Diceros bicornis minor: one gene and its partners. The protein of the gene in region 3 interacts with the protein of the main gene of each other region in a pairwise test. Links are inferred from orthologs where the notes say so. Each region holds a gene or a part of one and is shown on either strand. Other genes may lie near its edges.

What was found.
Region 1: the proteins of PHF1 (region 3) and NAB2 interact in binary tests that used the Homo sapiens proteins (3 or more experiments, as listed by UniProt). The two-hybrid records come from large-scale screens. The link is inferred for Diceros bicornis minor from reciprocal best matches to the Homo sapiens genes PHF1 and NAB2.
Region 2: the proteins of PHF1 (region 3) and PDLIM7 interact in binary tests that used the Homo sapiens proteins (3 or more experiments, as listed by UniProt). The two-hybrid records come from large-scale screens. The link is inferred for Diceros bicornis minor from reciprocal best matches to the Homo sapiens genes PHF1 and PDLIM7.
Region 4: the proteins of PHF1 (region 3) and HSD17B14 interact in binary tests that used the Homo sapiens proteins (3 or more experiments, as listed by UniProt). The two-hybrid records come from large-scale screens. The link is inferred for Diceros bicornis minor from reciprocal best matches to the Homo sapiens genes PHF1 and HSD17B14.

The regions. Positions count from the first base shown.
Region 1 is NC_080756.1:11,804,233-11,812,134, forward strand, and holds the start of NAB2 (NGFI-A-binding protein 2), read right to left. Parts: upstream 3,002-7,902; 5' UTR 2,790-3,001; coding exon 2,713-2,789; intron 1,271-2,712; coding exon 397-1,270; intron 1-396. UniProt on the Homo sapiens protein: Acts as a transcriptional repressor for zinc finger transcription factors EGR1 and EGR2. Isoform 2 lacks repression ability.
Region 2 is NC_080740.1:90,709,106-90,716,266, forward strand, and holds the start of PDLIM7 (PDZ and LIM domain protein 7), read right to left. Parts: upstream 3,008-7,161; 5' UTR 2,904-3,007; intron 1,970-2,903; 5' UTR 1,959-1,969; coding exon 1,863-1,958; intron 1-1,862. UniProt on the Homo sapiens protein: May function as a scaffold on which the coordinated assembly of proteins can occur. May play a role as an adapter that, via its PDZ domain, localizes LIM-binding proteins to actin filaments of both skeletal muscle and nonmuscle tissues.
Region 3 is NC_080753.1:31,079,170-31,086,342, forward strand, and holds the start of PHF1 (PHD finger protein 1), read right to left. Parts: upstream 3,009-7,173; 5' UTR 2,531-3,008; intron 2,508-2,530; exon of another isoform or gene 2,277-2,507; 5' UTR 2,256-2,276; coding exon 2,183-2,255; intron 1,799-2,182; coding exon 1,623-1,798; intron 1,531-1,622; coding exon 1,449-1,530; intron 1,340-1,448; coding exon 1,244-1,339; intron 785-1,243; coding exon 684-784; intron 581-683; coding exon 432-580; intron 255-431; coding exon 159-254; intron 1-158. Other genes in the region: kinesin-like protein KIFC1, read right to left, coding at 3,973-4,017, 6,798-6,873, 7,018-7,091. UniProt on the Homo sapiens protein: Polycomb group (PcG) that specifically binds histone H3 trimethylated at 'Lys-36' (H3K36me3) and recruits the PRC2 complex. Involved in DNA damage response and is recruited at double-strand breaks (DSBs).
Region 4 is NC_080773.1:24,435,786-24,443,305, forward strand, and holds the start of HSD17B14 (17-beta-hydroxysteroid dehydrogenase 14), read right to left. Parts: upstream 3,015-7,520; 5' UTR 2,930-3,014; coding exon 2,842-2,929; intron 2,362-2,841; coding exon 2,323-2,361; intron 2,106-2,322; coding exon 2,023-2,105; intron 1,418-2,022; coding exon 1,351-1,417; intron 1-1,350. Other genes in the region: PLEKHA4 (pleckstrin homology domain-containing family A member 4), read right to left, coding at 3,438-3,700, 4,009-4,121, 4,543-4,601, 5,514-5,675. UniProt on the Homo sapiens protein: Catalyzes the NAD(+)-dependent oxidation of L-fucose, yielding L-fucono-1,5-lactone, which rapidly converts spontaneously to L-fucone-1,4-lactone. Can also act on D-arabinose and L-galactose, with lower catalytic efficiency. Does not use NADPH.

The DNA of each region.
Region 1 (7,902 bases), on a different chromosome or scaffold from region 3:
GCTCAGACCTCCTCACACCCCTTCACCATCAGACAAATGAGGCCCATCCATCAGATCCTAGCTTGGGTTTTCACACTACACAGGAGCTTTGTGAGGCAGAAAGACAAGAGATCAGCACCCACAGCTTCCTAGGAATGCCAGGGGCCTCCTCGACTCCTGTGGGGTCTTGAGCAGCACGGAGCTGGACAGCTGGGCTGCTGTCTGTGTCTCTGCTTCCCCCTCAGCTGAAGAGGACAGCACTATAGTGGCTGGGGAAGGGGTGTGTGGGGGAGGGGATCAGAGCCTGGGGTCCTGGTCAAGGAACAATGAAATGGACTTGGGGAGTGTGAAGATTCTCAGAGTGAGCAGACTGAGGCCTGGGAGCTAAGGGCAATCCTGGCAGGCTGGGGTCCTTACCTCATGCAGGCTGAGCTGCTTGCCCTCGCGCCGCTTGGAGTCGAAGCGGCCATAGATGATGCTGTACTTGCGGATTTCCTCCTCCTTCTGGCTGTCATTGTCGTCCATCTCAAAGATGTGCCCTACGCTCCGCGCCAGCTTCTTGTTCAGCTTCAGCAGGGACGTGACCTCCCCAGCATCCCCCCTCGGGAAACTCCGGAAGATCCTCTCCACACTCTCCACCACCATGCGTACCATCTCTGGCTCCAGTCGATCTGGACCAGCCCCAGCCCCAGCTGCTGCCAGCCCCCCAGCCCCAGTCCCCTCAGGGACTCCTCCCCCTGCAGGTGGGGAGAAGGGGGGTGAGCTAGCCTCCTCTTCGCCTCCCGCCCCAACGTCGGACTCAGGGGTGCTCCGGCCTGGCCAGATCCGGGGGTCCCCTGCCCCAGGTCCCCCAGGCAGTGGTGACAGCTTCTCTCCAAGTTCAAGGGGGCTCTTGGGACTAAAACTGCGGGCACTGCCCGCCTTTTCTCCTGGGCTGCCGTGCCCATTGCTCATGCTCCCTTTCCGGGTGCCCGCAGTCTCAGAGATCTTGAAGAGTGGGATGCTGGAAACAGGCACAGCAGGCACTGGTTGGCTGAAGAGCCCTGGATTGGTGGCCCACTCTCTCAGTGCCTTCTGCAAGCGTCGAACGTGGAGGGGCTTGGTGGCCATGCCCACGAGTGCCATGATCTCCAGGAACTCCTCCTCACCCGCCTCGCACAGTTGCTGCACGTCGTCCCCTCCCTGCTGGATGAAGGTCTCGTAGTAGGAAAGCAGATTGGCGCGCTGCAGAACCCGGTACAGCTGCAGCTCCCCCAGCGTCCGAGGCAGTGCCATGGCTCGGGCACTGGGCCTGAGAAGGAGGTGCACAAGAAGGGGGGGGCAGTCAGTGCAAGGCCCCCTGCTCCGTACCAACCCACACTCACAATTATCCTCTTTCCTGCCTGCTTCTCTGCCCTCTCTCTTGAATGCTGTCTCTGCCCAGCGCCCAGGCCTGAGCAGTCTGAGAATCAGGCACTGCCCAGAGGCACAGACGTGCCAGTGCCATCCGACTGGCCAGAAGGACCAAAAACCGGCCCAGTCTCTGCAGAAATCAAAGGCTCTTGATCCCCATCCTCAGCTTTTACTTTTCTGGCCTGGGGCAAGGAGACCTTGAGCCCTGAGGCCAGCCAGCACACCCCTGTGAAGGCTGGACCGCACTCTCCTGCAGAACATAGTTCTCATCTTCCACGCTCAACACCCAGCAGTCTCAACCTTACTCAAGGTGACGTCCCACACTAAGGTGAATGCAGGACCCCTGTCCTCTCCACAGTGGACACCTGGGACCACTGCTGGCCAGCTTCACTCTCTGGTGGCATCCTGACCCTGTGGTTGAAAGGGGGGTGTGTGGCCCTTTCTCTGCCCTTTCCCACTCAGTGAGGGTGCACCCCTGCTCCCCTCCCCTCAGCTTTTCTCACGAATTAGGCATTCTTAGCGCACTCTTGCTCTCTCCCTGGGGACCTCGCCCCTCCCTTCCAGACTGCCCAGTGCCCCTCAGTTGGCCCTTCTCCCAGCAGTGACCTTCCCCACCTGCTCAGTGGAGCTCCGCCCGGGGGAGGGGAGGAGTGCCTCAATTGTTCTGCTCTGGGGCCCGTTCTGCCCACACTCACTCCCACGGTGTTGGCGTCTGTGGGCGAAAACCGCCCGGGGGCTCCCGCCCACCCTCCTCTCTTCATTTTCCATCTGCATTTTCAAGTGGAGTGGGGGAATGGCTCAAAACTTACTGCGGGAGGGGCTGCAGACCGAAACTCCCCTCCCCAGGCTGCAAATAAACGCACAGAAATGGGAAGGAACACCTAAGGCATCCCCTGCTTCTCCACGGCCCCGCTGATGCTCTCTTGGCTCAGAGGCGCCGGCTTCTCCCGGACCCCGGCCCGCGCGCTCCGTGCCAACGACAGACTGAGCCAGCTGAGTGGCCCTCCCCGGCACTGCTGCCAGCTAGAGCTCCAGGGCTTCCCCTGGCGCTGGGGAGCCCCCACGTTCTTTGCAGGGGGCTCAGCTCACATGCTAGGTCATACCCACAGAGTAAACGGGGGATGGAGAATGAGGTACTATTCTTTCATATCCAGCTTCATCAGATCCCTGCCTGCTCCCAGGGCCCCGAATTCGAAGACGCACCCCCTTTTCCATCAGTCTCCACCTCCCACCCCCGTCCCGCTTCCCCTGGTCCTCTCCTCGACCTCCGCCCTCCAGACCCCTTTCCCGAGTCCAGCTCCACCCATCTCCACTCTCCGCCGTCTCCCTTTGCCCACTAACTTGAGTCTGGGCTGCGGGGTCCGGCGGGCGCTGTCCCCTCCGCCTGGCTCGGCTGCGGGGGAGGGCGCTCTGTGCATGGAAGGCTGGAGACCACCGGGGCCGCCCCTCTCGGTGCCCGGCGCCTGGTGCGCGCTGCGCTCCTCCCGGCGCGCGATGCCGTGTCCACCGCTGTCCGGGCTCCGTCCCTGCCTCCACGTCTCCTCTCTGCGAGCCTCCGCGCCTCTGTCTGTGCCTCTGCCCCCCCCTCCCCGGCTGCGCTTGCCGCCTCTCCGCGCCTCCGCCCCCGCAGGACGCACGGGGAGCGAGGCCCGGCGCTGCGCTGGCTGCCGGGCGGGCGGAGGGCGTGGGCAGAGCCGGGGGCGGGGGCCGGGGGCGGGGGGCGGGCGCCCGGGCCTCTCGGCCGGCCGGGGAGACGCCGCGGCTGAGACGGCGAGAGGCGGAGACTGGGGGGAGGGGGTGTGGAGCAGGAGGCGGGGGCGGGGACGCGGAGCCGGGGCGCCGAGTTGGGGACTGGGGTGAACGAGGCCAGGCTGTGGAAGGCGGGCTTGGGGACCCAGCGGGCGGGGCGAGGTCGCTCCGTGCCGCCCACGCCGGATGCACAGCCGGCCCTCTCCGCGCCCACGTAACCACGTGAGCGCCCAGCCGGCGACATTCCTACTCCCCCCACCACCCCTACCCCTCCAAGTGGAGTTTCACAACCACGCACAGGTACACAAAGACACAGAGAAGCGCACGGACGTGCACACGCGCATCAACAACTACGCGGACGCCCGCTGCCCATACTCAGGCCTCGCGGGCTGTACGTGGGAATGTTAGGAGTGAGCCGGGAAAAGTTGGCGGAGACGGGTGCGCGGCTCCTCCCGTGCGTGCATCTGACTCCCATAGAGTGGGCACTTATGGCTGGTCTGTGAGCGTGGGGCTCTGCGGGAATCCCTCAGATATCCCAGCCCCAAAAAGAATAGTTTGGAAAGGCCAGTTCTCGGAAATCCAGGCCGCCTCCATCTCTGCCTCGAGTCCACGCCGAAGTTCGGGGAACAGGATTGGGCGGGTTATGCTAAAAGCTACCACTTAGACGCACGCTGATGAGGCGCGTCGGGGTTTGTTAGCGATTAGGCCAGGCAGGGATGGGAGGGGTATCCGCCTTCCTCTACTCGTCGCACCCTATTTGCTGAGAGTGGGGACCTGCTCCTGGGGAATTCTGTGTGGGAAAGCTGGGATAAGGAGGCTCCCCTTTTGGGGACGTCTTATTAGGGGACTTTGCCCGAGAGAGTCTAGTGGACGATGGGCAGGAGGCCGGGAGCGTCCGACGTGGCTCCATACGGAGGAGTTGGAGGGAGGCGCTCCTTCAAGGAGCCTGGCCACCGCGCCCCCCGTCGCCGCCACCCACTACCCCTCCCCCCTTTGTTTCTCCTAGCCCCATCTGGTTCCCATTACACTCCCGCCCACGGCTGGGAGGGCTAGAGGGTGGGGACAGGCGGGGGCTCTGAGGGCCCGTCCCAGTGGCTTTAGGCCCCGGGGAAAGGAGGTGGGGGAGAGGGCCGACTGGAAGCGAGCGGACTGGCCAGAAGCAAGGTTCCCCCAAGTCCGACACCCCAGCCCCGCCCCGCCATTCCGCACGTCTGAGTGGCCCGGGCCCGGCAGGGCGTGGGTGGCGTGGGCGGGGCTGGTTCTACATTCCAGCCGGGCGAGGGGACCTTTCCGTCACGGGGGGGGGGGGGGCGGGGACGGGTGCACCACATAGGGGGATTTAGGTAGCTAAGATTCTCTTCTCCATCCCATTAAGCCTCAAGCACAGTGGAGGGTGATAGGAACGCGCCGAGTGCCCCCTTTCAATCCCCTGTTGTCCAACTGGAGGGCACGGCTAGACGGGCTCACTCCCAGATCCCCTCCGATATGTGTGGGCACCCCCTCCCCCACTCCCCTCTGGTTATTTTGGAGCCTGGGTTGCCAGCCGCTGGCCCGGGTTTCCACGTGCCTCCTCCCTCCTCCTGCCCACGCTCCCCGTGACGCACATCCTTCGCCCACGCAGCCTGTGCTCCAGGCGCCCCCCTCCCTCCCACCCAGACCCCCGTGGGGCAGCGCTGAGCCCCTGGGTCCGGAGAGAGACGCAGGCCCGGGAAGAGGGCGGAGTAGGGCGTGAAGCAGGGGGGCGGTAACCAACTAGGCGCCGAGCGCCTGGGTCCCGGCCCAGGAAAGATGACGAGGGAGGGGCCGATTCTGGGGCTTCCACTCCTCGGTTCTAGGGCGGGTATTCGGCCAGAGAGGGAAGAGGGGAGAAAAATCCCGCGGACTGTTTCTGCCCACTCCCCTAGGGGAGTCAGAAGGGATTTTTCTGAGTGCGAACCTGTGTGTGTGAGTGAAACTCCCTAGTGTTTGTATCCCTGTTTCTCAGGGTTGAGGTTCAGATGAGAGGATGTATACGAAAACTCTGTAAATTGGAAAATTCTAAGCAAATTGAAGACGCTATTGCCAGTTTGTGCCTCTGTACCCTGAGATTATGTATTTATATGTCTTTAAATCTACTTGTGTATCTGTGTCTCCGTCTTGCTTTAGGTTTGTATGTGAGCTCCTATGTGTGGATTTAAAAATACATACATTTAAAAAATCATTGACTTGTCAAGCCCCGCCAGAGGCCGAGAGCGCCCCCGCAGCTGCTGAGATGTCTGTTCTTCGCTTCCCTCCCACTCCTACCACCCCCAAGTCCCCTCCTACTCCCTTCCGTTGAGAACAAGGAATTTCCAGCTTTTAGCAAATGGAGAGAGACTGAGACGAAGACACGGAGACCATGAGAAACTGTAGAAAAACACAAAGATAAGAGACAGGTTGGGGGCGGGGTGGGGGGATGACAGTAGGGGTGGGACGAATACAAAAATCTTAATTTCCTCTCCTTTTCTTCATGGTTCCCATTCCCTCCAGTATAGGTTAGGACCACTTTCTTAGGAGACTCACCTGCTGTCCGCCCACCTCAGTGAGGTCAGGGGCACGCAGAGCAGAGCAACGGATCCGTTTCATCAAAGGTTTATTGCCTACACTGGTCTCTTCCAGGAAGGGAAACAGTATCCTGAGTCCCAGTTTTCCAAGAACAGGGGAAAAGATTGTGAAGAAAGTGGGTGGAAGAGGAGTGAGGAAACTGCTAACCAGAAGGATTGTGATTCCTAGGCACGGGTAGCTTTTCATCTAGCAGATTGCACTGCTCACCCCCCCCCCCCGCACCCCCCCCAGGTTTTCACCAGGCCTAATCCAGCTCACTCAGCAAGCTCTGGCTCCAATATCACCTTCCTGGACCCTCTCCTGCCTGCACGCTGTGCTGCCTGCACCCCTCTAGGCAGAATTAATTGCTCCCATCCTTCAGTTGCCTCACGGTTCTTTGTACACATTTCAATAACGCATAGTTGCTTGTTTCGCCCTCAGCCCAGGACCTCTCCAGGGTAGGTCTGGTGTCTCGTGGGCCCTCTGAAATTAATGAGTTGATGATGCTATTTCCAGGCCTGAGCAACTTTGAAAAGGGCAATTGACAGATTTTACTCAAAAGGGGCTGAACCTGGGCAAAACTGTGTAAGTGGAGGTATTTTTCCATGCCTCCTTCCTTCTTCAAGTTTCCAGTCTCACAGGTCTGGCTCCTTGCCCTTCTAAAATGTCCACTCTTCTGATAAATTAATTCATACTCAGGTACTAAAGGTAGACGGCTGAAATCCTTGCTAGAAACAGAAATATATGAATATAAAGTAATGATCCTTTTTTCCTCTTTTAGTAACATGTAAGAATTATAATCTAAGGAACATTGTCATTCAATTTAGTCATTTTACAAGGGGTGATGCTTCACCCCTCAAAGACTGATAATCCTAACTTCTGCCTTTAAGGAACTCATAGACTAGTAGGGGAGATAGACATATAAACAAATAATTACAACGTAGGACAATAATAAGGGTACAAACACTGACCGAAGTATAGGGGACAAGTGATGTCTTCTGTACGGGGTTGTGAGGGACTGTAATGTTGCAGCCTAGGATTTTGGAGTATGGATAGGAGATTTCCAGGAGGAAGGGACAGTCAAGTCAGCAGAATATAAACTTACATGGAGGTATGAAACAGAACGATATCTTTGAGAAACTAGAAATTGTTCATTATTGCTGGATGGGGGGTGGCAGTAGTTAAAAACGAGCCCAGGGAAGTGGACAAGGCCATTGAATTAAGGATATTATAGACTAGTGCTTCTCAAACTATAAGAAAGGACCAATTAAAAAAAATTTCCAGTCTATAGTCTATACTTCTATAAAATACACTAAAAGTGAATTATCGAACAATGAAATAAAATCCCTATTTTTATTAGATTCAATAAATATTTTTGTCAAATTGCTGTAAAAGTTTCTAAATGTTTACACTTAAATTTCTGAAATTGTTTCATTGCAGATTGGTAATAAACTTTGAATAGCGCTGTTGTAGTTGTTTCTTTACATCTATGTTTTAGATCATACTAAAGACCTTGGACTTCATCACAGGAGATTTTTGGGGAACCATAAAGGCTTTATAACCTGGGAGTGACATGGCCAGGTCTGCATTTACTATAGTGTGGAGGAAGGGGTTTATGGCTGCAAAAAACAGCAGGGAGGCCAGCTTGAAGGAAACTAAAGTGGCCCAAGTGAGATATGGCAAGGTGCTAGACTAAATGTCTGGCATGGGATGGAGAGGAGAGGATAGATTCAAAAGGTAGTCAGAAAGTAAAATCAATAGGACGTGATGATTGGCTGAGGGGTTGGGGGAAGAGAAGAGCTTAGGGTGACTCCTGGACTTCTAGCTTGAGTGACTGAGTACATGGAGTGTCTTCATTAAATATTCACCATCTGTAATCCTTTTCCTAAATTAAAACGAATGAAAACCAAAAGTTTTTCATAACTCATTTGACAACAAAACCTAATCTGACCTGAACTTATTTTGTGGCAGACCTCCTAAACTTTCATTATTTATAGTTTCATTTATCCCACTTTTGTTTATCCCAATGTGAATATTCATATATCTCATTGCAGAAATATTAATTTGTTTGATTACGGTTGCTGTCCCAGACCCCACTGGGACTGTTGCCTTATGTATTGTATATGTATATGCACCGTATATGTTTCTAAAATCCAAAAAAATTCTGAAACATTTATATCCAGATTTCCCACCCTATTTACTCATCAGTCTTGGCCTGAG
Region 2 (7,161 bases), on a different chromosome or scaffold from region 3:
GGAGGGATGGGAGAGTGCTCAGAGAGGTAGAGAAAGAAGCAGGAGAGAACTCGGGGGTAGGGGGCAGAAGGGTGGCTGGAGAGAGAAGCAGGGAGGCCCTAAGTACGAAGGAGGTGAAGAGCCAGGGGGCTGGACATTGCATGGGGTGGGGGTGAGTCAGCCTGAGGGCTCCACCGAGCAGCCCAACCCCCAAGTCCCAGACGTTACCTCATCTCCCAGGCCTGGGCCCACAGCCAGTCCTGGGAGCCCCTCCCTCCTCTCTCCATGCCGGGGTCAGGGGAGACAGAGGGGGCTGGCCCAGCTCAGAAAAGACCACCCCATCAGCCCACCCACCAGGGCCTAGGTCCAACTCCAGGGCTGGGCTCAGCTCACCACCCCACCCACACACTGGGGCTGCTGACAAGCAAGGCGTGGCCCAGAGTGCCCCCAACAGGCCACAGCTGAAAGTCCATCCCCCAAGCTCACTATGTTGCCCATCCCCACCAATGAAGAAACAGTCTCAGAGGCCAGCCAAGGCCTGCGACTCCCCAGCCACACTGGCCAGCACTTTCCAGGGAGGGGGATTCAGGATAGGTTTTCTGGGCTGGCAAGGCATCAGGACCGTAAGGGCTGGGTGTGTGTGTTGTAGGGAGACCTGCTGGCAGGGTAGTTTCCAGGGGAACCCCATGGAAAGGTCCCTGGGAAGATCAGTGACCGCCTGCCTGCCCTGGCCACCAAGCCCAACTCCCGCAGACTCCGCCTTGGGGCCCCTCTCAGGCTGGGCAGTGCCTGGACAACCTTCTGGCCCCCTCCAGGCTGTGCCTGCCCTGGGCTTCCTGCCAACAGCCGCCTGCCCACCAGGCACCCGGGTGGGCCTCTCTGCACAGGCAGATGTGGGGACAGGAAGTCCCCACCCCACACTGACTCCTAGGCCACAGTCAGAGACACCAGCCCTCACCCTCTCTGGGCAGGCAGTTTGTTGTCTATGTCCCACAACTGACCCTACAGCTGGAGCTATGGCCTGGTGGTCACCAGCTGAGGGGCCCACCAATGCAGTTCAGGGGTCCCGGCCTAGACCAGCCTTTTTCGGCTCTGCAGACTCCAGCCAGCAGATGGCCATCCCAGCATGGGGCTGCATTCTTGGGCTTATAAGGCAATCCCCCTGCCACAGGGAGGAGCCAGCCCTTAGCTCCACCCAGGAGCCCCCCCCAACCAGGGCAGGATCTTAGGAGTCACAGCCCTAGAGACCTGTCCCACACCCCTGCTTGGGGTCAAAGGCCACTGTATCCTGAATGGGACCAGTGGGGGATGCAGGTCCTCGCACAGGCTGGAAAGAGACCCTCCTCACTCTCCTAACCACGAAAACTGCAGGCCATCCCAGTGCCTGAATCCCAATCCCTGCTTTGTCATGGAATTGCTGGAGGAGCGCCTCCACCTCTCTCAGTCCTGAGCTCCCTCATCTGGAAAAACAGGATGACAACTGCTATTCCCTGGGTGGCAGTGAGGGTGAAGTGAGATCCTGCAGTCTGAGTGTCCTGCCTGGGGGCTGGCTCCAAGCATTGCTCCCTCAAGGGCCTAGACACTTCCTGGAGATCTCAGGCTCCCCTCCTGCAGAATGGACATCCCTCAGGCCTCAGAGGTGGCCCCAGGAGCTTCATGGAATGGCATCAGGTATAGTGCAGTGCTGGGGAAGTATGAGGACTTCTTTCCCAGTATCCACCTAGTTAGGAGTCCTTGTGGCAGGTGACCACCACATCTCTGGACCTGGACACCTCCTGGACTCTTGGCCCTGGCTCCCTCCTGCTCAGACTCCTCCCATCACCCACTGGAAACCTGAGCACCCAAAGACTCCTGGGGGAGCCCCTCCCCCAACCTAGGCTCACCCGGGAGATGGACAGGGGCACATTGAAGTCCTTGCCCCCCTGCAACCGGAAGCCCCAAGGTGCTGGGCCATCCAGCACCACCTTGAAGGAATCCATGGTGTCCGTTCCTGAGAGGAGAGAGAAGGTGAGTGGCCAGCATAGTGAGTGTGCAGGCAGGCCCAGCTCTGGACACCAGCCTTGGACTGGTGCCACGCAGGCACAAGCAGACGCTTAGCACACCCAGGGCATCTGCAGGCGGGCACCTTGTCAGGTCTGGCTGGGCTGCTGGCTGGCAGGCCTCACTTTGGAAAGACAGGGGCAACCCTCCTCCCCCAGGGACTGGGAGGGTGAGGGGAGCCCGCATCCAGTCTTGAGGTTCTTTTCATCCAGGAGTGGGCCGCAGGGCTAATTTGGCACGGCCTCCCCCTAAGCCAGCCTTGAGCCTCGGATGGCGGTGGGGTGAGTCAGGGGCCGGCACTCCTCTCCCCCGCCCCCAGGTCCCGGCAGGCAGGCCGCAGCTGGAGCCTGCTAGGACTATATAAGGCGTGTAAGCTGACACTGTGCGGAGAGTCAGCGGAGGGAGCACACGGGGGCTCGGGACGCGAGGGGGAGGGGTGGGGAGGGAGGCGGCTGGAGCGAGTCCTAGCCATTCCAGGACCGGTCGAGGCTGCTGGGAACCAGGGCGGGACCCCTGGGCGCTGAGGGGGACCGGGCAGGGGTGCAGGCTCTGCGGAAATCGGTGGGGGCTGGACCCCAAAGCGTGGCCAGGAGGGGGATTCATCCTGGAGCCCAGTGGGGGTGATGCCACTCCGACGTGACTCAGTTTCCCCCTGGTCCCCCGCCCGGGCCCCATGCATTGGCCGAGTCCCGAGCGCAGGAAGCGGCGCAGGCGCCAATCGGTCCCGCCGCTGCCGGCTTCGTCGCAGGAAGGCGGGGGCGGGGGCCCGGGCCCGAGGGAGGAAGCGCAGCGCTGGCCACGACCCCTAAAGCCCTCTGCGGTCCCCAGCAGGCCTCTGCCCCCCGCCTGGCCCAGCCCGAGACGCCCCGCGCTGTCGCCTGTACCTGCTCGGCCCCGCCGAGGCGCTGCTCCGCAGCGGTCTCCCAAAGGCGGTGTCGGGCTCAGCCGCTCGTGTTCTGACCCCTCCCCCGTGGCTGCCGTCCGCTTTGAGCCCGCTGAAGGGGGCGGTGCCCCAGGCCACGCCCCCATCGAGGACACGCCCGCGAGCGGCCGGTCCGTCAGTGGGAAGCCCCACCCAATCCTCCCTCCCCGCCCAATCACGAAATCCCGTCTCGCTTTGAGCTGGAAGGCACGGCCCGCCCCGGGCCCCTTGGTGGCGCGGGGCTGGCGCGGGGCTGGGGCGGGGCCTGGGCTGCGGGATGCCGCGTCTGGGAGCCCAGCCAGCCGCTCGGCCAACGCCTTGCGCCTCCCGCTGGCCGAGTGAAAAGAAGGCAGCCTTCGAAATCAAACAGATCTGGGCATTAGTTGTCTCTGAACATTAGTTTCCTCCCCGGAAAAATGGGACAATAATACTGGCCTTGCAGGGCCGCCGTGAGGATAGGCATTCTTTGGCGTAAGGCGCAGGCATCCGCGGCTCCAGAATTTCTAAATCGAAGAAACTTGGTGGGAGGAGACACATCGAGGTGGGATTAGTTGAGGTGGGAACAGGTTTGCAGAACACTCTACTGACGGCAGAAAATAAGGGCAGGAGCGGACGGAGGTGGAGGGGGCCCTGGGCTCGGCCTGAACTGTGGGCCCTGGCCTCCCTCCCACCCCGTGACCCCAGGCAGTCAGCATCCCGCTGCCTTGCGACCCCGTCTCAGCGACCCCACACTGTCGAGATGGGCTGTGTTCTGGTACCCGACTCCAGAGGGGGTAGCGCCGCTAGTGGAGGCGCAACGGGAGACTCTAGCGAGGGTGTCCGAGTCCCCGCTTGGCCCCCAGTGCTCAGCCCCGGCGGCTAGCTCAGCCGGCGGGGGAAGTTGAGCAGGGACGGGAATGAATCGACGTCCACCTCTCAGCTGCTTCTAGGGCGTGGCCGCGGCTGCCCTCCCTGCTCCATCATCACGCTTCCCCTCTTCTGCATCATTCCCCTCACTACACAAACTGCTGAGAGAGTTCTCATCTTTAGAGACATCTCTCTTGACCCCACCTCCCTCTCCAGCTATTGCTCTTTTATTCTACTCCCCTCGAGAGTAAAATCCCTGGAAGGAGTTGTCTATCGCCCTGTCTCCGCTTGCTTTCCTCTCGTTCTTTCTTGAACTCACTCCAGTCAGGCTCTCATCCCCACCAGTCCTCTGAATTAATTCCCTTTTCTCAAGGTCTTTGATGCCTCCAGGTTATCGAATCAATGGCGGTTTCTCAGCTTTGTCTTACCGGTCCAGGGGCATTCCCTCTTCCGCTGGCTTCATGCCTCCTCCTGCCCCACTGGCTGCTCCTTCACCGCCTCAGTAAACAGCACCACCATTCATCCACCTGGTCCAGTAAAAACTATGAAGTTATCCTTCCTTTCTCTTCTCTGTCATACCCCAGATTCTGCAATTCCCACCCTCAGAATATGTTCCACATCTGGTCACTGCTGCCGTCATTGTCCCTGCCACTTATCTCGTGTCTGGACATCTTAACAGTCTCCTAATAGAGCTCCCTGCTTCCATGCTTGCCCACTCCAGAGTCTTCACCATGCAGCAGCCAAAATGATATTTTTAAAGCAGAAATCATACCACATCACCCTCAGCTTTTAGCATTCCGGTAGGCTCACATTGTACTTAAAACTAAAGTCCTCAAGATGTATATGCCACTAATAAACTGACTCTACCTCCCACCACTCTCCTCCTTGCTCACTGCACTCCAGCCACTCTGGCCTCCTCACTGTTCCTCCAACATGTCAAACATATTCCTGCCTCAGGGCCTTTGCACTTGTGGCTCCTTCTGCTTGAAGCACTTTCACCCAGATGTCTAAGCAACAGGCTCTCTCACTTTGTTCAGGTCTCTGCTCAGCTGTCGCCTCCTCCAAGGGATCTTCTCTGGCCACCTATCTAAAACAGGAGTCCCTTGACACCTTGCCAGCATCAAGTACTAGTCCCTTACCCTGCTTTATTTTTCCCCATAGCACTTACAACCATCTGATATTATATCAAGTGTTTGTTTCTTTATTGCCTTTTCCCCCTTTGGAAACTCACTCCCATGAGAGCAGGGACTTGTCTGTCTCGTCCACCAACATTTCCCCAGTGTCTGCACACAGCAGATGTGAATGAGCAGATGAAGGAAGAAAGTGACACAGCACGTGAGCAAAGGAAGAAGTGGCAGCTGGGGGTCCTGGCAGTCCTCCAGCAGAGAGGACCCTGTGACCGCATTCCTTGGCCTGTGCAAGGCTCAGGCCTGGATGGAGCCACAAGAGCTCCCTGTATAGGCAGCCCCTGGGTTGCCCCAGGCTAGGACACAGTGCCCCCCGGCGGCCAGGACAGCTACAGCTCCAGGGCCAGGCCCCTAGAGTCCTGGAGGTTTCCAAGGACTTTCTCTTTCCCAGTCTGATTGGAACCTCACAGAAATTGCATGAAACAAAGAGGCTTAGATTTGTAGTGAAGGGAAGCATGCCTGACCAGGGACCCAGAGTCCTGGGTTCTAGTTCTGGTCATGACCCTGACTCTCTGGGTAACCTCCAGTGTGTCCTCGGATTTGCTGAGCTGTGGGGCAGAGGGGTCCCTGCCGCAGGCACCCTGACTGGGAACCTTCTGGCCTCAGCTGGCTCTATGGCAGGCAGCCTGATGGATCATGGGAAGATTTTACCCATCAGGAGGAGCTTCCGTAAGTGGGTCTGAAATCTGCCTCCCCATCGCTCCAATGTCCTGAGCTTTGCCCTCTGTGGCCACAGACACTCTGGGGCAGCACTGCACAGAACCCCCCAGCGTCCCTTCAGACGTTACATTTGGAGATGCCTTTTAGACAGCCAGAAGTCTAGTGTGCAGTTGGATTCTTAAATCTGGAGCTCAAGGGAGAGGTCTGCACTGAAGATATACCTTTGGGAGCCATCAGCATTTCTTTTGTCTTTTCTTTTCTTTTCTTTTTTTGGTGAGGAAGACTGGCCCTGAGCTAACATCTGTGCCTGTCTTCCTCTATTTTGTATATGGGACGCTGCCACAGCGTGGCTTGATGAGCAGTGAGTCGTTCTGCTCCCGGGATTCCAACCTTCGACCCCTGGGCCACCAAAGCAGAGAGCACGAACTTAAACACTACGCCACTGGGCCGGCCCCTAGCCACCAGCATTTAAATGACCAGTGAGACCTGGAGACAGGACTGGCTCACTTAGGGCAGTAGTTCTCAGCCTTGGATGCACACTACAATCACTCAGGGAATCGGACAAACTGATGCCCGGGGCCTGCCAGGACTGATGAAATGTGAGCCTGTGGGTGTGCCCAGGTGCAGGCATTTTTTAAAGTCTCCTGGGTGATTCTGTGTGCAGCCAGCGTTAAGCTACACTGTGAGGCTGGAGCCCAGGGCAGGACTCTGGCAGAGGAGGAGACAGCAAAGGCTGGGAAGGAGGGGCTCAGGAGGGAGGAGGAAAACCAAGTGAAGACAGCGTATCAAGGAGGGGTGTCGAATGCTGCTGAGAAGTTGGGGAGTCCAGCTCACAAGGGGAGTCCAGGTTGCTTTTGTTTTGGGCAACAGGGAGGTTGGTGACTGTGATAAGAGCAATGCAATGAAGTGGGGGGACCAACAGGAGTCTGGAGTTGGTGGAAGGGAGAATGGGAGATGAGAAAGTGGAAATGAGAGTAATCAACAACTCTTTTGAGGAGTTTCACTGTGAAGAGGAACAGAGAAATGGGGAGGTGGCTGAAGGAGAATGTGAGGTCAAGGGAAAGTTTCTTTTAAAGATGTAAAATTACAGAGCATGTTTGTTTGTGGCTGGAAATGACGATGATGGAATTAATGGGTCGAGGAGATGGGCAGCTCAGTTTGCCAAGCTGTTAGGTGGTGAGAGGAGCTGGGATCAGACACATGTTGGGGAAAAGATACTTCTTCCATTGTAGGGCAGGAAGGAGGCAGTGCAGATGCAGGTGCACTTGTAGAGGAGGTGGTGGGAGGTTTGGGGGGGGTGGTGTTCACCTCTGTCGGCTGCTGTTTCTCCAGGATATCTGCAAGCTGAGACTGGGCAGGGATGGAGAGGAGAAGGTGTGGAGGTCTCGGAGAGGAGAAAAACAGCCATTCTGGGACACAGGATCTCTGGGCAGCGTAGAAGGCCTGCCGATTTGAGGTCTGAGATCACATTGCTAAAGACAACGCAATCAGCCTGGTGATGTGAATGTCCCCAGTGTGGGCCTCTGC
Region 3 (7,173 bases):
TACACAGGAAAACTGTACCATGCTACGGAGGACTCACAAGCAAGGATGGGGCGAACAGGTGGGGGAAAGCTTCAGAGGTTGGGAAGAGAAGGGATCTGAGAGGGTGGAGCAGAGCAGGAGGGCTCCCTCGGCTCCTGGAGAGTCTGCCCTGGTCTCACCTGTCCCCATAGAGGAGGGGCTTGCTCAGACACTGGGTGCAGGCCTCGTGGAACCATTGCAGGCAGCTCCGGCACTGTAGCATTTTCAGGTTCCACCTGAAGGGGAGCCAGGACTAATGACCTCCAGACACTTCCCCCCTTAACTGACCCAAACCACCTACTTTCATCCCCTTCAGCACTCCCCTTGCCTTGTTTTTTATCCTTCACTTCCTGGGATTCCCCCCACCACCACATCACACTCATTCCTTAACCCCCCCGCCCCTCATAACTCACTCCCCAGGGCCACCACAGTAACAGTAGCTCTGTTGCCGGTTGCTCAGATGTCCAGCGTCCCAGTCCAGCCCCTTTAGTCCGTATGGCAGAGAGAGCTTCATGCCCAGCATGGCACGGGCATAGGGGCCCTTCTTCAGTGCACCACCCCTCTGCAGAGACAGAACAGGCACGCCAGGCACCTCAGAGGAGTGGGGACAGGAAAGGCTTGGGAGAGGATGTGGGTGGCAGGCTCCCACAGGAAGGTGCCTTTACCTTGGTGGCGATGGCAAAGACACACTGGCGGCAGACCCAGGATGTGCCCTCTCCCTCTCCAGGGGCTGGGGCCCTTGGAACATGGCAGTCCTGGTGATAAGCTGAATAATGATAATATTGATGGTTGACCACTTATTGCAACTGGTATGTGCATGTGTATGCAACCTGTGTGTGCAAGGTATTGGAACAGGAAGTCTTATCCATCTCATTTAATCCTTGACCATGGTCCTGCTGGGGTGGGTGTATTGCCCTTATTTTACAGGTAAGGGAACTGAGGCTCCTAGAAGTTTAGGGACTTGCCCAAGGTCATATGACTAGAAAAGAGTGTATTTGAACCACCCTCTGCACACAAAGCTCACACATCCCCATTCCATGGCTGCCTCTTGCTGTGCTAGAAAGGAATGAGCTTACAGGGTTGAGGAGACTGGCAAGAGCAGTGGCAGTAGCCGGGGGACTCAGGCCAGGACAGGTGGCATAAGGACCAGTGCTGGAGGGAGGAGTCAGAAGTAGCCTGGAAGGCCCAGGGCAAGCTGGACAATTCAGGTGTCCTGCCCTCTCACCGTGGCGACACTTCTCACAGCTGACCAGCCGGTTCCCAGGGACCACGGTCTCAGAGCGACAGACACAGCAGAGGAGTTCCTCCCCAGGGAGAGCAGCTGTGAAGGAACACAGTGTCAATGGGCCTGTGCTTGAGCCCCTTGCTGTCCCCCAAGCCAGTTTTCTGTTTTCTGTGGGATGTACACTCTGAGGCCTTGGGGATCTCACCAGGGCTAATATCTTTCCATAGAACCAGAAACTGAGAATCATCCTCAAACTGGACCAGACACACCTCCCGAACGCTGTCCACCTGGAATGGGTGAGCACAGAGGATGAAACAGGAATCAGAAGTAGATAAGGGGAATGGGGAAAAGGAAACAGGTCAGAGGTCAAAGGTCTTACCTTCTTGATGGTCCCCAAGTATAGAAGCCCATCTGTCCATCTGGCCAGCACATCTTGACCCTCCCAAAGTCGAGGCCTGGGGCCTGAGGTGGGAGCAGGGGAAGCTGGATCCCAAAGAGGGAGGGCACCAGAGCGGCTCAGCCGGGGGGGCTGTGCCATTGCATCCTGGGGGGGGCCTAGCCAGAAGTGGGATGGGAGGAGGAGGAGGTTATGAATGCTGAGAGACTGGCCCCATTTTGTTTGCCTATGTTTCTTTCAAGGTCTCAGGCGGCTGTGCCCCCAGTCTCTAAATCCCTGAGACATCTGGATAGGAAACCTCTCGGCACCCCTCCCAAGCTTCTTGACTCTAGTTCTCCCAACTCTAGTGACTGGCTCTCCTTTCCCTAACCAGCCCCCCAACCTAGTTGTCTAGTTTCCCAGCTTCCAGAGCTCCCCTGGGATATTATATCCTGGCCTGAGATTTCAGCAGAAACGATGGTTGCAGAAGCAAAGGTTACCACTCAGTTTCTACTGTCACCTTCTCTTGCTGTTGAGAGGTATCATAATTGGGGTGCTGTTACCCAGAGATGTGTTTTGGGAGCTTTTCGGGAGATGTTTTCCAGAGTAGAAACAGCTGCCTCCCGGGGCCGGCATGTCTCATTCAGAACAATCATCCTGGTGCCAGGTTACATCAGGTCACCCTCAAATTCGGGGCTCCCTGCCCCCGGGTTAGATAAGTTCCCTGAGTGCCCCGGGAGGGGGGCGTGTCCCAGTCCCGGTCTCTACTCCCCATGACGGCGAGTCCGAGAGGGGACTTGAGTCGGCCCAGCCGGACCCGATGCCAGAGCGGCGAGGCTCTCCCGCCCGCGCCCTGCGCGCCGACCCCCGGCTCCCTGCCCCCCCACGGGCGCCTCCCGCCGCCTCCTTACCAGTGACAGCTGGGGCCGCCGAGAGCCGGGCAGTGGCAGACGTGGGAGACCGAGGCGAACCCCCCGCGCGAGGAGGGCACGTCTGGGCGTCGGGGGGCGTGCAGGCAGAGGCCGGGGGGTCCCCAGGCCCAGCCCCTCCGTCCCGGCGGCTCTGGGGCGTATGACGCAGCAGCCAAAGCAGCGGCAGCGGCAGGAGGAGGCGGCGGGGGAAAGGAGGGGAGAGGAGGGGAGGGACAAACCGGCTCGGGGGGAGGGTGGTGGGAGGGGAGGACTGGGGGGAAGGAGGAGCCGGGAGGGGGGGCGGAGAGGCGGGCACCACCTCACCCCACCTCCCTCACCTCCAACAGGCCTGGAGGGCGCCGAGCAAGCGGCGGCCTCTCCGCAGCTGAGCCGGGCGGACGGTCGGACCCCGCGGGAGAGGGAATCCCCGCAGCCCCTTCCTCCGAAGGGAGACCCGCCCTCGGGGCAGGAGGGAATCCCCCCTCCCGGCAACCCGCCTTCGGACTGGCCCCCGCCCCATGCCACATCCGTTAACTGCCCCCCCCACCTCCACGGTCACTCCAAGCCCCGCCCCTCGGCCCCAGTTCACGACCCCGCCCTCCAGTCACCCTTCCCATTGCCCCCGCCACGCCCTCCTCCATCCGTTGCCCCCGGCCCCGCCCTCCCCGTGGCAAGTTGTCCCCCCGCCACTGCCGCGCTTCTGCGCACGCGTGACCCCTCCCGCGCGCGGCACCTGGGAGCACTGAGCCCCTCCTTCATGGGGCGGCGGCCGTTGGCGGTTGGCGCGAGGGATTCGGCGGGCGTGCGTCCCGCCCCGCGCTTCCAGGGCGGGGGCACGGACCAGGAGGTTCGTACCGAGGCGGTGACGCCACCTAGAGCCAGCCAATGGGCAGCGGGCGGGGCCGGCCCTGGCCGTTCGAACGGGAAGGCAGGGAAAGGGCGGGAGAAAAGAGCCAGCAGTTTGTGGGAGGGCGCGCCGGTCCCGCCCCTGGGCTCGGGTGCCCACCTTCCCACAGCTACCGCAGGAGCATTCCTGCCCGGGGCTGGCGTGGCCCGTGCAAGGGGGAGCCCCAACTAGTGACTGTGGATGGCTAGCGGGCACATATCCTGGATGTGGACGACGGGGGAGGGCATGGGAGCTGAAGGCCACCCAGACTCCAGGGGACGGCATGTCAGGGAGAAAAGCCAAGCCCTCGCTCGGCAAAACACAAATGCTTGGCCGACTGGCCAGACCCATAGTTCTCATCTTTACAGATAAGAAAAATATCTCCCTTCTTGGGCAACAGCTAATACAACCTTTATTTTTAAAAAAACAACAAAAAACTGTTCTTTATTTGATAGGCCCAGGTAACACAGCGCCCCCTCCCAACGAAGCATCCCTCAGCCTCCCACTCCGTCCCCGCCCCCCCCCCCCGCCCCCCACAGAGGATCTGGATCTGTCTTCATTTCCTGTTGGCCTGGGCAGTACCAATAACACACTGGTTCACCTGTGGGCAGGTTTAGACAGGATAAAAAAATTTTCAGAGTAACCAAAAGAATAGTTTTCCCAAGATCACCTCCCAACCCACACTATTAGGGCTGCCCTCAGAGAATACTGAAATAACAGCTCTGAAGGCAGGTTCGGGCTGGTCTCAGTTACAGTGAGTTCTGTGCCCACTAGGCACACCAGATCTGGAAGAGGTGAAAAGGCCTGAGAAGGGATGGCAGCCCCACACAACAGCAGAGAGGAGCTTCCATTTCTAGAGATACTGTGGACTAGAGACCCCAAAGCCCTCCCACTACTAATGCTTAATATGCTAGATAAAGCAATAACAACACTCATTTAGGAACCAAGGCTCCTTGGAAAATGAATGATTCCAAGTCTAGGGCAGGAAATGTACAAGATGAATCTGGAACAAAGATTACTGGGAACTTGTCTAAAGGACACAGGAGCCAACTTGAAGGAGCTCCCACTGGCCAAAGATGCAACAATTTGAGCATCAGAAAGAACAACTGCAAAGGATATCTATCAAATACACAAGCATCTGTAAAATGATACCCCCAGATAAAAATTCACTGGTTACCTTTGGAAGTTGCCAGGATATCAACTTAACATACTGAAAATTGATAAAGAATCCAGCATTTATCCTGCCTTTCTTCTAGGGACTGAGTTTCAGAATAACCAGATAGATAGCAAGGGGAAGTTCTTTAGAGAAGAATTATGACTAATAAATATAGAACAATTTGAAAATCACCATTTTAAAACTTACTAATGAAATAACAGATCTAGGTATGATCATTGTTTGATAAAACCACTAGGTGAAAAAGTCAATAGGGAGTTTTAAAATGGACAGATCAGACTGACAACACCAAAATCCAATGATCCATTTTTCTATCATTAAAACTGGAACAACTAGATATTAGGTGCCTCCTGATATGATGCAATAGAAAGTGTACCACACCATCTAACTTTTCTTGCCAAAAAATCTGAGCCTGATTCAAATCTAATCAAGCCTCTAAATCTAACTACCAGATAACAAAAATTATGGAGAAAAAAGGAAGCAATAAACCAAAATCCAGAATGTAGTATATTGTATAGGACAAATGACCCTATTTCTTCAACAAATAAATGCCAAAAAGGGGGTGCAGTTTCTATAGACTTAAATTTCTTTTAGAGACAATTTCAACCAAATGAAAGGGGTAGCCCTTGCTTAAATCCTGATTGGAACAAACCTAATGTATAAAAGAGATAATCAGGTGAAATTTAACATAAACTGGGTATTAGAAGATATTAAAGAGTTCAAGTTGTTGGGTATTCATGATGTTGATATAACTTTATTGAACTTGCAAGACAGCACGGGAAATCCTGATCAAAGCACAAGACCAGGGCAGGTGCTGAGGCGGCTGACTATGTCCATGGCAGCAACCGGGGCTGAAGCCCAAGAGCAGCAGGGCTCACCATCAGAGACCCTAGGTAAAGCCAGGACCCATCGTAGGGCTGTACTCTCAGGAAAACGAGTAAACAGAGGAAAAAATGACCCTCCAGAGGCAGACGGTAAAGAAACTTTCTGACTTAACTCTAGTGGAGGGGAGCATAAGTCTCCTAGAGATTAATGGCCATGGCCACAGCCAACCCTCATGGGGTTTGGAGCCTGAATTGACACTATTTGGAATGGTCTGAAAAACCTTTAAGTCTCCTTTGATCCAGCAATCCCATTTCAAGGAATCTCCCCCTAGATAGTTAGATGCAACTAAACAAATACAGAATGACATATGTACAAGATTAGTCAATACGGCCTTGCCTGTAACAGAAAAAAGGTGGAAACAATCGAAGTGTCCAGTGGAGGGAACTGGTGGATAAACTTTGGTGCATCCACACAATGGAGTCCCAGGCAGACATAAGAATAATGGGATGATCTCTGTGTGCTGGTGGGGAGTAATCCTGGGGCTGTCTTGTTAAGCAAAATGCAGCGCGGAACAACATATATATGAGACAGAGAGGATGAGGGATGTCTTTTATATAAGAAGGAGAGGAATAAGCACATGCATATTGCTTGTAGTTGCAAAAAGAAACATTGGAAGGATAAGTAAAATGATAAATGATAAAAATGACTCCCTCTCCTAGGACAGGAAGGGAAGATGGGGTGGAAGCAGTGGTGGTAAAACTTCATTTGTTGTGTATAGCTTTCTATATAGTTTTGACCTTCCTTTTAACGACCTATTTTTAAAAACTTAATTAAAAATCCCCAAAAGCCAATACATAAAAAATGGATCCAAGCAACTAGAAGGATGTGCAGCTATGACATACAGCTATCTACTGGGGCTTTGTGGGGAAAAACAAATAAATAAATAAAATTATTAAAAAAAAAAAAATGGGGGGCCGGCCTGGTGGCGCAAGCGGTTGAGTGCGCGCGCTCCGCTGCGGCGGCCCGGGGTTCGCTGGTTCGGATCCCGGGCGCGCACCGACGCACTGCTTGGTAGGCCATGCTGTGGCGGCGTCCCATATAAAGTGGAGGAGGATGGGCACGGATGTTAGCCCAGGGCCGTCTTCCTCAGCAAAAAAGGAGGAGGATTGGCGGATGTTAGCTCAGGGCTGATCTCCTCACAAAAAAAAAAAAAAAAAAAAAAAAAAAAAATGGATCCAGGTGGGTAGTGCCTCAGATGCCTGGCAAATATAAATCCTTTCTGGATGAATGTGCCTCCTGGCCTAGAGGACAGAAGGGGTCAAGATGGAGAAGCCTTACAATGCAGGGGTCCTGACAGGGCCTGGGCTTGCTGGTAAACGCACCTTGGAGGCAAAGCGTAGGGAGTTGAGGGACTCGGAGACATTCTCTTCTAGGGGGGAAATGTTCACAAACATGAGCCTGTGGAGAGAGGAAAGGGGGCCGAACCCCAGGATCAGCGGCTGGGCGGAGCCTAGACCAGGTCTCCACTGTTTCCCCTTTCCCACCCCTGACCCCAACATCACAGTTCCCACCTGACCCCTTCCGCGTGTCTCTATCACTCACATCTTAGCACTGCCACCCAGAGAGTTCTGCAGCAAGTAGGTGAGCTTGCTGTTCCGGTAAGGTATGTGGGACTCCTAGAGGATTGAGGGGGACAGATGATTAGGAGAGGACAGGGTTCAGCATGGCCAGCCCCAACCTATCACCAGGTTCCAGCTG
Region 4 (7,520 bases), on a different chromosome or scaffold from region 3:
ATTTTTTCCCCCAAAGCCCCAGTAGATAGTTGTATGTCATAGTTGCACATCCTTCTAGTTGCTGTATGTGGGACGTGGCCTCAGCATGGCCGGAGAAGCGGTGCGTCTGTGCGCGCCCGGGATCTGAACTGGGGCCGCCAGTAGCAGAGCGCGCGCACTTAACTGCTAAGCCACGGGGCCACCCCAATAAAATAATTTTTTAAAACATGCAGCCCAGAGAGGGTGAGCCACTTGCTCAAAGTTGCCCAGCCAACAAAGCAGGCTTCTTTCTACCACGGCCTTGCTGTGTGACCTCCATGCAATCAGTTCACCTCTCTGAGCCTCAGTTCACCACCATGAGACATTCTTATGAAGGGCCGTCATCAAGCTGATGGCAATTTCCCCTGGAAGCCACCACACCAAGCCCTATAAACCATGCACCGTGAGGACATCTTCACAGCCATCGGCAAAGAGAAGGGCCATGGCCTCGCTTCACAGATAAGCAAAGTGAGGCTACAAGATGGAAGCTGTTTGCCCGAGATTGTACGATAATTATGCAGCTGATGAATAAATGAAAAGCAATACGGAAAGTACATACATATTGAGGGATATGAGGAAGCCATTTGGTTTAAAACTAATTCGGCCTGACTTTGTTTTTCCAGAATGGTCTGGTGTGCCCTGTCGAACATGCATTGTGCATCTGTTTTAAACGTTTACAACGTCCCAAGCAAAGAACGCTGCCTTTAAAGATAGGGATGTAGGCCTCCCCCCACATCAGCATTTCTTTAAAGATAAGTATTTCCTTCCAGAAACTAAGGTCACAGGGACCTGCCATGCTAGCAAAACATCTCGTGACTGTAGTAAAAGAGATATTCCTGTTATACGTGGCGTCTGTTCCTTGTTCCAAGTCAGTATATAACTACACTGTACACCCCGATGCTTCGGAGGGCTTCCTTCCTTGGGGAAGGTTTCCTCCCAGGCTATATGGTCCTCAGATTAGCTCATGTAATCAACTCACCCCAATCTTGATTTATAGATTGATTATTGATTATTTGTGTTGACAATGCTGAGTAGTTTCCCTTATTCAGTATCCACAACAACCCTATATGATGATCATGGTCATTCCCATTTTAAAGATGCAGAAACTGAGGCACAGTGAGGTGAGGGCACAGGTCTGGGGGCACACAGCAGGGAACGGACAGAGCCGGGATTTAAGCCCAGGCATGGAGGATTCCATAGCAGTCCTGTCCTGTCTAAGGGGACAGAGGGGGAGGGGGCAGAGACAGGGAAACTGAGGCAAGGGAGGAAGGCGGGGGAAGCCAGGAGGCGTGTGGACCTCAGTGGGAAGGGCCCTCAGGCTTCACAACTCACGGTAGCCGGCGTTGTTGACCACACAATCCAAGCGGCCAAAACGGCGGATGGTCTCAGAGATGAGGGTCTGAGGAGAAAGACGGGTCGTGAGGGAGCAGTGTTGGCCCCGGGCCTTGGGGAGCCCGGGCGCCCAAAAGCAAGGCGTGGAGGTGGACGCTGGAGTCACAGTTGAGGGAACAGGAGCTGGAGGAAGTGAGGGACCCTCCCCACAAATCACCAGGCATGGCAGGAGAAGAGGAGACAGGGAGCCGGGGAAGGTGGGGGCTAGATACTAGATCGACACTGATTGAAGGGAAGGGACAGAAACCCTGAGATGGGCGAGGGAAAACTCTTACAGGAGGAGACCCGCTGTGATAGATTTTTTTGTTCTAATCCTCACGACAGAGTGGCAAGAGTCTTGAAGAAGTAGGAGATAAAGGAGAACTTTCCCAGGAGACACAGGACCTGGCCAGCAGAATCAAGGAGAGCCTTGAAACAATACTGAGCTGGTCCCAGTACAATTTAGCCAGGAGAAGAGGGAAAGGTAGAGGGAACAGCATGTGCAAAAGCCTAGAAGAGAAACGAGAGAGAGAGAGAGAGAGAGAGAGAGAGAGAGAGAGAGAGAGAGAGAGAGAGAGAGAGAGAGAGAGAGAAACTGCTGGAGATCCGGAGTAGGGACCGAAAAATACTCACCCTTATGTCTTCCTCCTGAGTCACGTCACAGAGGAGAAAGACAGTTCCAGGAAGCTCCCGCTCCAGGGCCCGGCCCCCAGACTCTGCAGAGAGAGAGAAGGGCTGGGGGTCCGGACTCCCAGATCGGAAGGAGGGGGCTGGGGGCCCGGACTCCCGGGTCTGGGGGAAGAGGGAGTTGGGGGCCTCCCCGACTCCTGGGTCTGAGGGGCCCGGACTCCCGGTGCTGGGGGAGAAGGGGCTAGGGGTCCGGACTCCCGGGTCTCGGGGAGGAGGGGCTGGGGGTGAGGGACCAACACTTACCATCTTTGTCGCAGATAATCACTTGGGCCCCGCTTTGCACTGAGAACAGAACAGGTTACCCCAGCACAGACCTTGGCGAAGCCTCTGCTGCCCTCTTGTGGCCACCTGGAGTGGGGACTATCTCCCTCCCTGCTCCCTCTGACCCCAAAGTCTCGTGATGATCCCCTAGGTCAAAGGGCAGAGGCCTTGACACATATTCTTCTTGGCTGCTCCAGGTGCCTGCTGCGGCTCCCGAGCCCCCACCCCTGGGATCCAGAGCAAATTCTAAACCTGCAAGAGCCATTCACCCCTTTTGTAGCTATAACTGAAACTCAGAAAGGAAGTAACAGCGTTTGGGTGACACGCCAAGACCTCAGGCCCTAGGCTACCCCTGCCAATCCCTTCGTTAGCATTACAATTGGCTTTTATACGATAAGAATCTTGACTCCGGTACTGAAGACCCTTCTTCCCACATCCATTAGCCCACGGGGTCCCTCCTCTCCCAGACTCCAATATTTCGAGCAGCCAGACCCCTCTCACCGAACGATCGCACGATCCCGGCTCCGATGCCGCGCCCGCCCCCGGTTACAACGACCACCTTCCCGGCATAGCGCGTTCCCGTGGCCATTCTGCCTCAGTCCGTGTCTCCCACTGTCACTCACTCTGCCCCTCTTTCCACCTCCCAAGTCCCGGGAGGCCGAACCATAAATAGAGGCTGGATCCTGGAAGCCCGGCCCTGGGGGGCGTTGCCAGAAAGACCAGAAGCCTGGAAGTTTGGCCCCAGCCCCTCCTCCCTCAGACCCGGGAATCTAGGTCTCCAGCCCCTCCTTCCTCAGATCTACAAGTCTGAGGTCCCTGTCCCTTCCTCCCTCGGGACCCAGGAGTCCAGACTCCAGCTCCGCCCCTCAGAGACCCCACAACAGACACAAAGAAAGCTATTGACTAAAAGTTCAAAGTTTTAATCCGAATTTGGACAAGTGTTGGGAAAACCAAACTCTGGCCACCGAAACCACTCGCCGGCAGGCCACCGGAGGGGACTAGATCACGCCCCCCGGTGCCCTGAGTGGCTCCAGATCTCGGGGCGGTACATCCAGGCCACGCCCCCACGCTCCGATTGGCTGCCGCGTTTGGGCGTGTCAGAAGCTGGACTGCAGCAGAGTAACTCGCAGAGGCCACGCCCCCTCATCTTGCGTCAGGGCGGGAGGGGCGGCCCCAGGATCCCACGAGGACTCCCAGGAGGCGGGGCCTGCGCCGCGCCCACTACCTCGGCGGGAGAACCCGGTGGAGCGGGAATTGGCCAGTGGAGGAGATCTTGGGGCCGAGGACACCTGGGGCGTGGGGTCTGACGGAGGCGGCGGCGCAGGGGGAACAGGGTCTCCTCGGGAGTCCAAATTTCCCCCTGGAGAGGACGATTGGGGAATGAGAATGGCAAACCTTGGGATTCGGGAGTCCAGACCCCCAGACTTTTCCTCCTTCAGACCCAGGAGTCCCGACCTCTCAGTACCCTCCTCCAGACCCAGTAGCCCTAGATCCCGATCTCCTCCCGCCTGGGATCTAGAATTTCCAAGCCCCGTCTAGCTCTTTCCTCATCAAGACAAAGGATTCCCAGCCGCCCTCAGACCCCTCCCCACCAGGACCTAGGATTCCAGGCCTCTGGCTCCCTCTTCTCTAAAACCCAGGAGCCCAAAGTCCCCAGCCCCTCCTCACCTATCATCATTCTGTGCCACTGCGATGCCTCAGTAGCCAGGGCTTGAGAGAGGCTGAGGACTCGCTCCCGGTGACCTTCGGATGTTGGCAAATAAGGGGTGGTGTTCCTTGGACTAGAAAAAAAGAGATTTGGGGGACGTATACAATTATCCAGTACAGAGAGGACCTCCGTGCTGCGCGTGTCCTTCTGGGAGTTGTAGTCCCTAGCACGTGTCTCTAAAGGTCTTTAAACATGGCGCGGCCCTCATAAAAAGCACGCGTGCATTATGGGATTTGTAGTCCAGTCGCTCTTAGACTTCACCGGTTTTCCAGACGGAGGAGCGGAGTGTGATATCTACCCAGTTTTGCAGTTTTGGAAACTGCAGTTCTCACTGCGGATCTAGGGCTTTCTGATGGCCCAGGAACTCAAGCGTCTCCAACAGGTTCTGCGACCTGCACTTCAGTACTCAGGAGACATTAATAATAGTGCTACTATTCCCTTCCCCTTTGGCAAATGGATTTCCCTGCTCCTGGCCGCGCCCTCCTGTTCCCTACCTGCTCCAGGACCCGGAGCTTCTGAGCCATTTCGGGGCTCCTGAGTGTCCTGGGACAGGCTGCAAAGGAATTGGGGCATTAGAATTCCTCACTTGGAAGTCCCCACGTTCTCATTTTGAGGGTGAAATGAAGGGGGCTCAGAGAGGGGATAAAATTGCCCCCGGAGACACTGACAATGTGTAACTTTACATGCGCTCCTGGAAAACAGGTTAAGATCCCGCCCCACCCCTCCACTCCCCAACACACACGCAAGCTTGTGTGTTCTGGGAAACGGCTTACTACAAGAACCCTTCTTCTCCATATGTCTTAGATAAGACTCAGATGACACCCCGCACCCCTTGTTTACCTATGACAAGGCCAGAAACAGGCCCTCCAAACTCACATTCTCTACCTCACAAATGATTAGCTGAACTGTTTGTCTCCCCAAAACTAGGTAGACACAGAGATAAACGGTTGGTGTTCAGCTGACAGAGACGCCCCCCGATTACAAAAACAATCCCAATCTTGAATCACCCCACCTATGATTTGTCTAATTCCTTCCTAGAAAAGTCTAAGATGAAACCATCCCACCAAGACACTCTGATCTTAAGATCTGGGGTGCTCTCCCCCACTGCAATAGCATGAATAAAATCGATTTCCTTACTTGCTCAAAAAAAATTATTTTTGCCTTTGATAACACTGGGCTTCCAGTCCAGACCTATGACCTCCACGCTGAAGGGAGAATGCTGATGAGGTGGAGATGTTGTCTCTGCCCCACCCCCTACCACACCCCACTTCCATTCCCCACGGCTAGGGGAGCCAGAGTGCTGATTTCAGCTCAAGTAAAAGTTGGGGCAAATCTGGAAACCCAGTTCTGGGTAAGGAAGTAGGGAACATCCCCATTTTACAGAGAGGGAAACTGAGGCTCTAACTAGGAGCAGAAGACCCGCTACCACCCCATCGCCCCACCTCGCACCCCTAGTTCCCCTCACCCTTTGTTCCGTGTCAGGCTGGCGTCTGGCTGGGGACAGTGTCCTCCTCAGGGTGAGGAGCCGAGGGGAAGCCGGGCGAGGGAGCGGCCGTCCACACTCCTGGTTTCTGCGTATCCTCTCCAACTGCTCCTGAGCACTCATCCGCGGCCGGGGCACGGGAGCCTGGGGAGATGAGAAACACCTCGAGACCCCAACCTTGGGCCTCCACGTTATCTCTTCCCTGAACCTCTCTGTCTCCAGTCTTGCCCTCTCTAGAAAGTTCTCCACTGGACCTCAGAGGAATCTTTCTGCACCCAGAATTATGCTGCTCTCATCCTCTTACGGCCATCAAGCACCCTCAGGACTACGGTGTTTGAGGTCCTGTGTGGCCTATTCCCTACCCACCTCTCAGGCCTCAACCCCATCAGCCACCCTATTTGAACCCAAAGCCCCAGCCTAACAAACACCCACACTCCCCTAGATATATGAAGCTTCTTCACACTAGTAGTCAGGACCCTGGGTTGCTTGTGTTGGGGATCAGAATTTGCGATGCCAAAATGTGTCTCTTTGGCTTGATTATTTTTTTTTTTTGAGGAAGATTAGCCCTGAGCTAACATCTGTTGCCAATCCTCCTCTTTTTTTGTTTTTTTGTTTTTGCTGAGGAAGATTGGCCCTGGGCTAACATCTGTGCCCATCCTCCTCTACTTTATATGGGACGCTGCCACAGCATGGCTTGACAAGCCGCGTAGGTCTGCCCCCAGGGATCCAAACCTGCAAAACCCAGGCCACCAAAGCAGAGCGCTCAAACTCAAACTCTACCCGCTGGCTTGATTATTTTTTAATAAAAAAAGACTCAAAACGAAACTATGACTTTCCCCTAACTGCCTAAAAAAGGAAGGCCTGTCCCAGGACAGGCCACGACCACAGATAACTCTGGGTATGGTAGACTGGGAGGGTCCTTGCTAAGCCCATTTTTATCAAAGTTCTCTCCCTTGGGTCTCATTGTCTATAGATGGCCCAGCAAACATTTGTTTACCAAACATTTGCCTTTCCATCTCCATGTAAATTGCCTTCTTCCCCTTTGAGGTCCCAAACCACTACCCCCAACATCCTCCTTTGTCCTTAGCTGAAAATGGTATTTAAGGTAGTGGTTCCCTCATTTTGGCAAGTTACTCAGTTTTCCTGGGTTTCTGCCACGTATTCATGTTATTAAACTTTGTTTGGTTTTCTCCTGTTATTCTGTCTCACATCAGTTTAATTCTTAGATGAGCCAGAAGGACCTAGAGGGTAGAGGAATAGTTCTCCTTCCCCCACACGTGTGATGAAAGACAATTTTAACAACAAAAGGAGGAATGAGATGTAGTAACTAAACTGTTGAGAGGATCAGTTTGGGTTGGCCTGAGAGAGGACTTGATGAGCTCTGTCTTGCCCTCAAAACCCGAGAGAAGACACACCCAGGAGGAACACCCTGTGACAATTGGAGCTTTGCTGCCACAAGCCAGGGAACTACCGGAAGCCAGGAGAAAGGCCCAGAACAGATCCTTCCCTGGCACCTTCAGAGGGAGTATGGCCCTGCTGACACCCAGATCATGGACTTCTAGCCTTAAGCACTTAAAACGAAGGAGGACAAAGATAAATCAAAGAAAATATCGTTCACCAAAAGGAAACCAGAACTTGAAGATTTGGAAAATTCTCAGCCTATCCAGATTGCAAAAAATGAGAGAGAATGCTCTGGAAAGAACGCCAAGGGTGTGGCTGGACAACCTGTTTGCTAAGAGATTAGGCATGTGACATGTGGATCCTATAAATCATCTCAGCAGAAATGCTGCCAGCTTGAACTGAAGGGGACAGACAGGGGACGAAATGAAGGAAGGCTGTCAGATTTCTAGGATGCTACAGGCAGGAAACGGGCCGATAGGGCTATCTGGCTGCACACATCTGTTATCCTTCAGGAAAGGGGGCAATTTGGACACAGACATGTACACAGGGAGGACACCACATGACGAATGGAGTTATGCTTCCACTAGT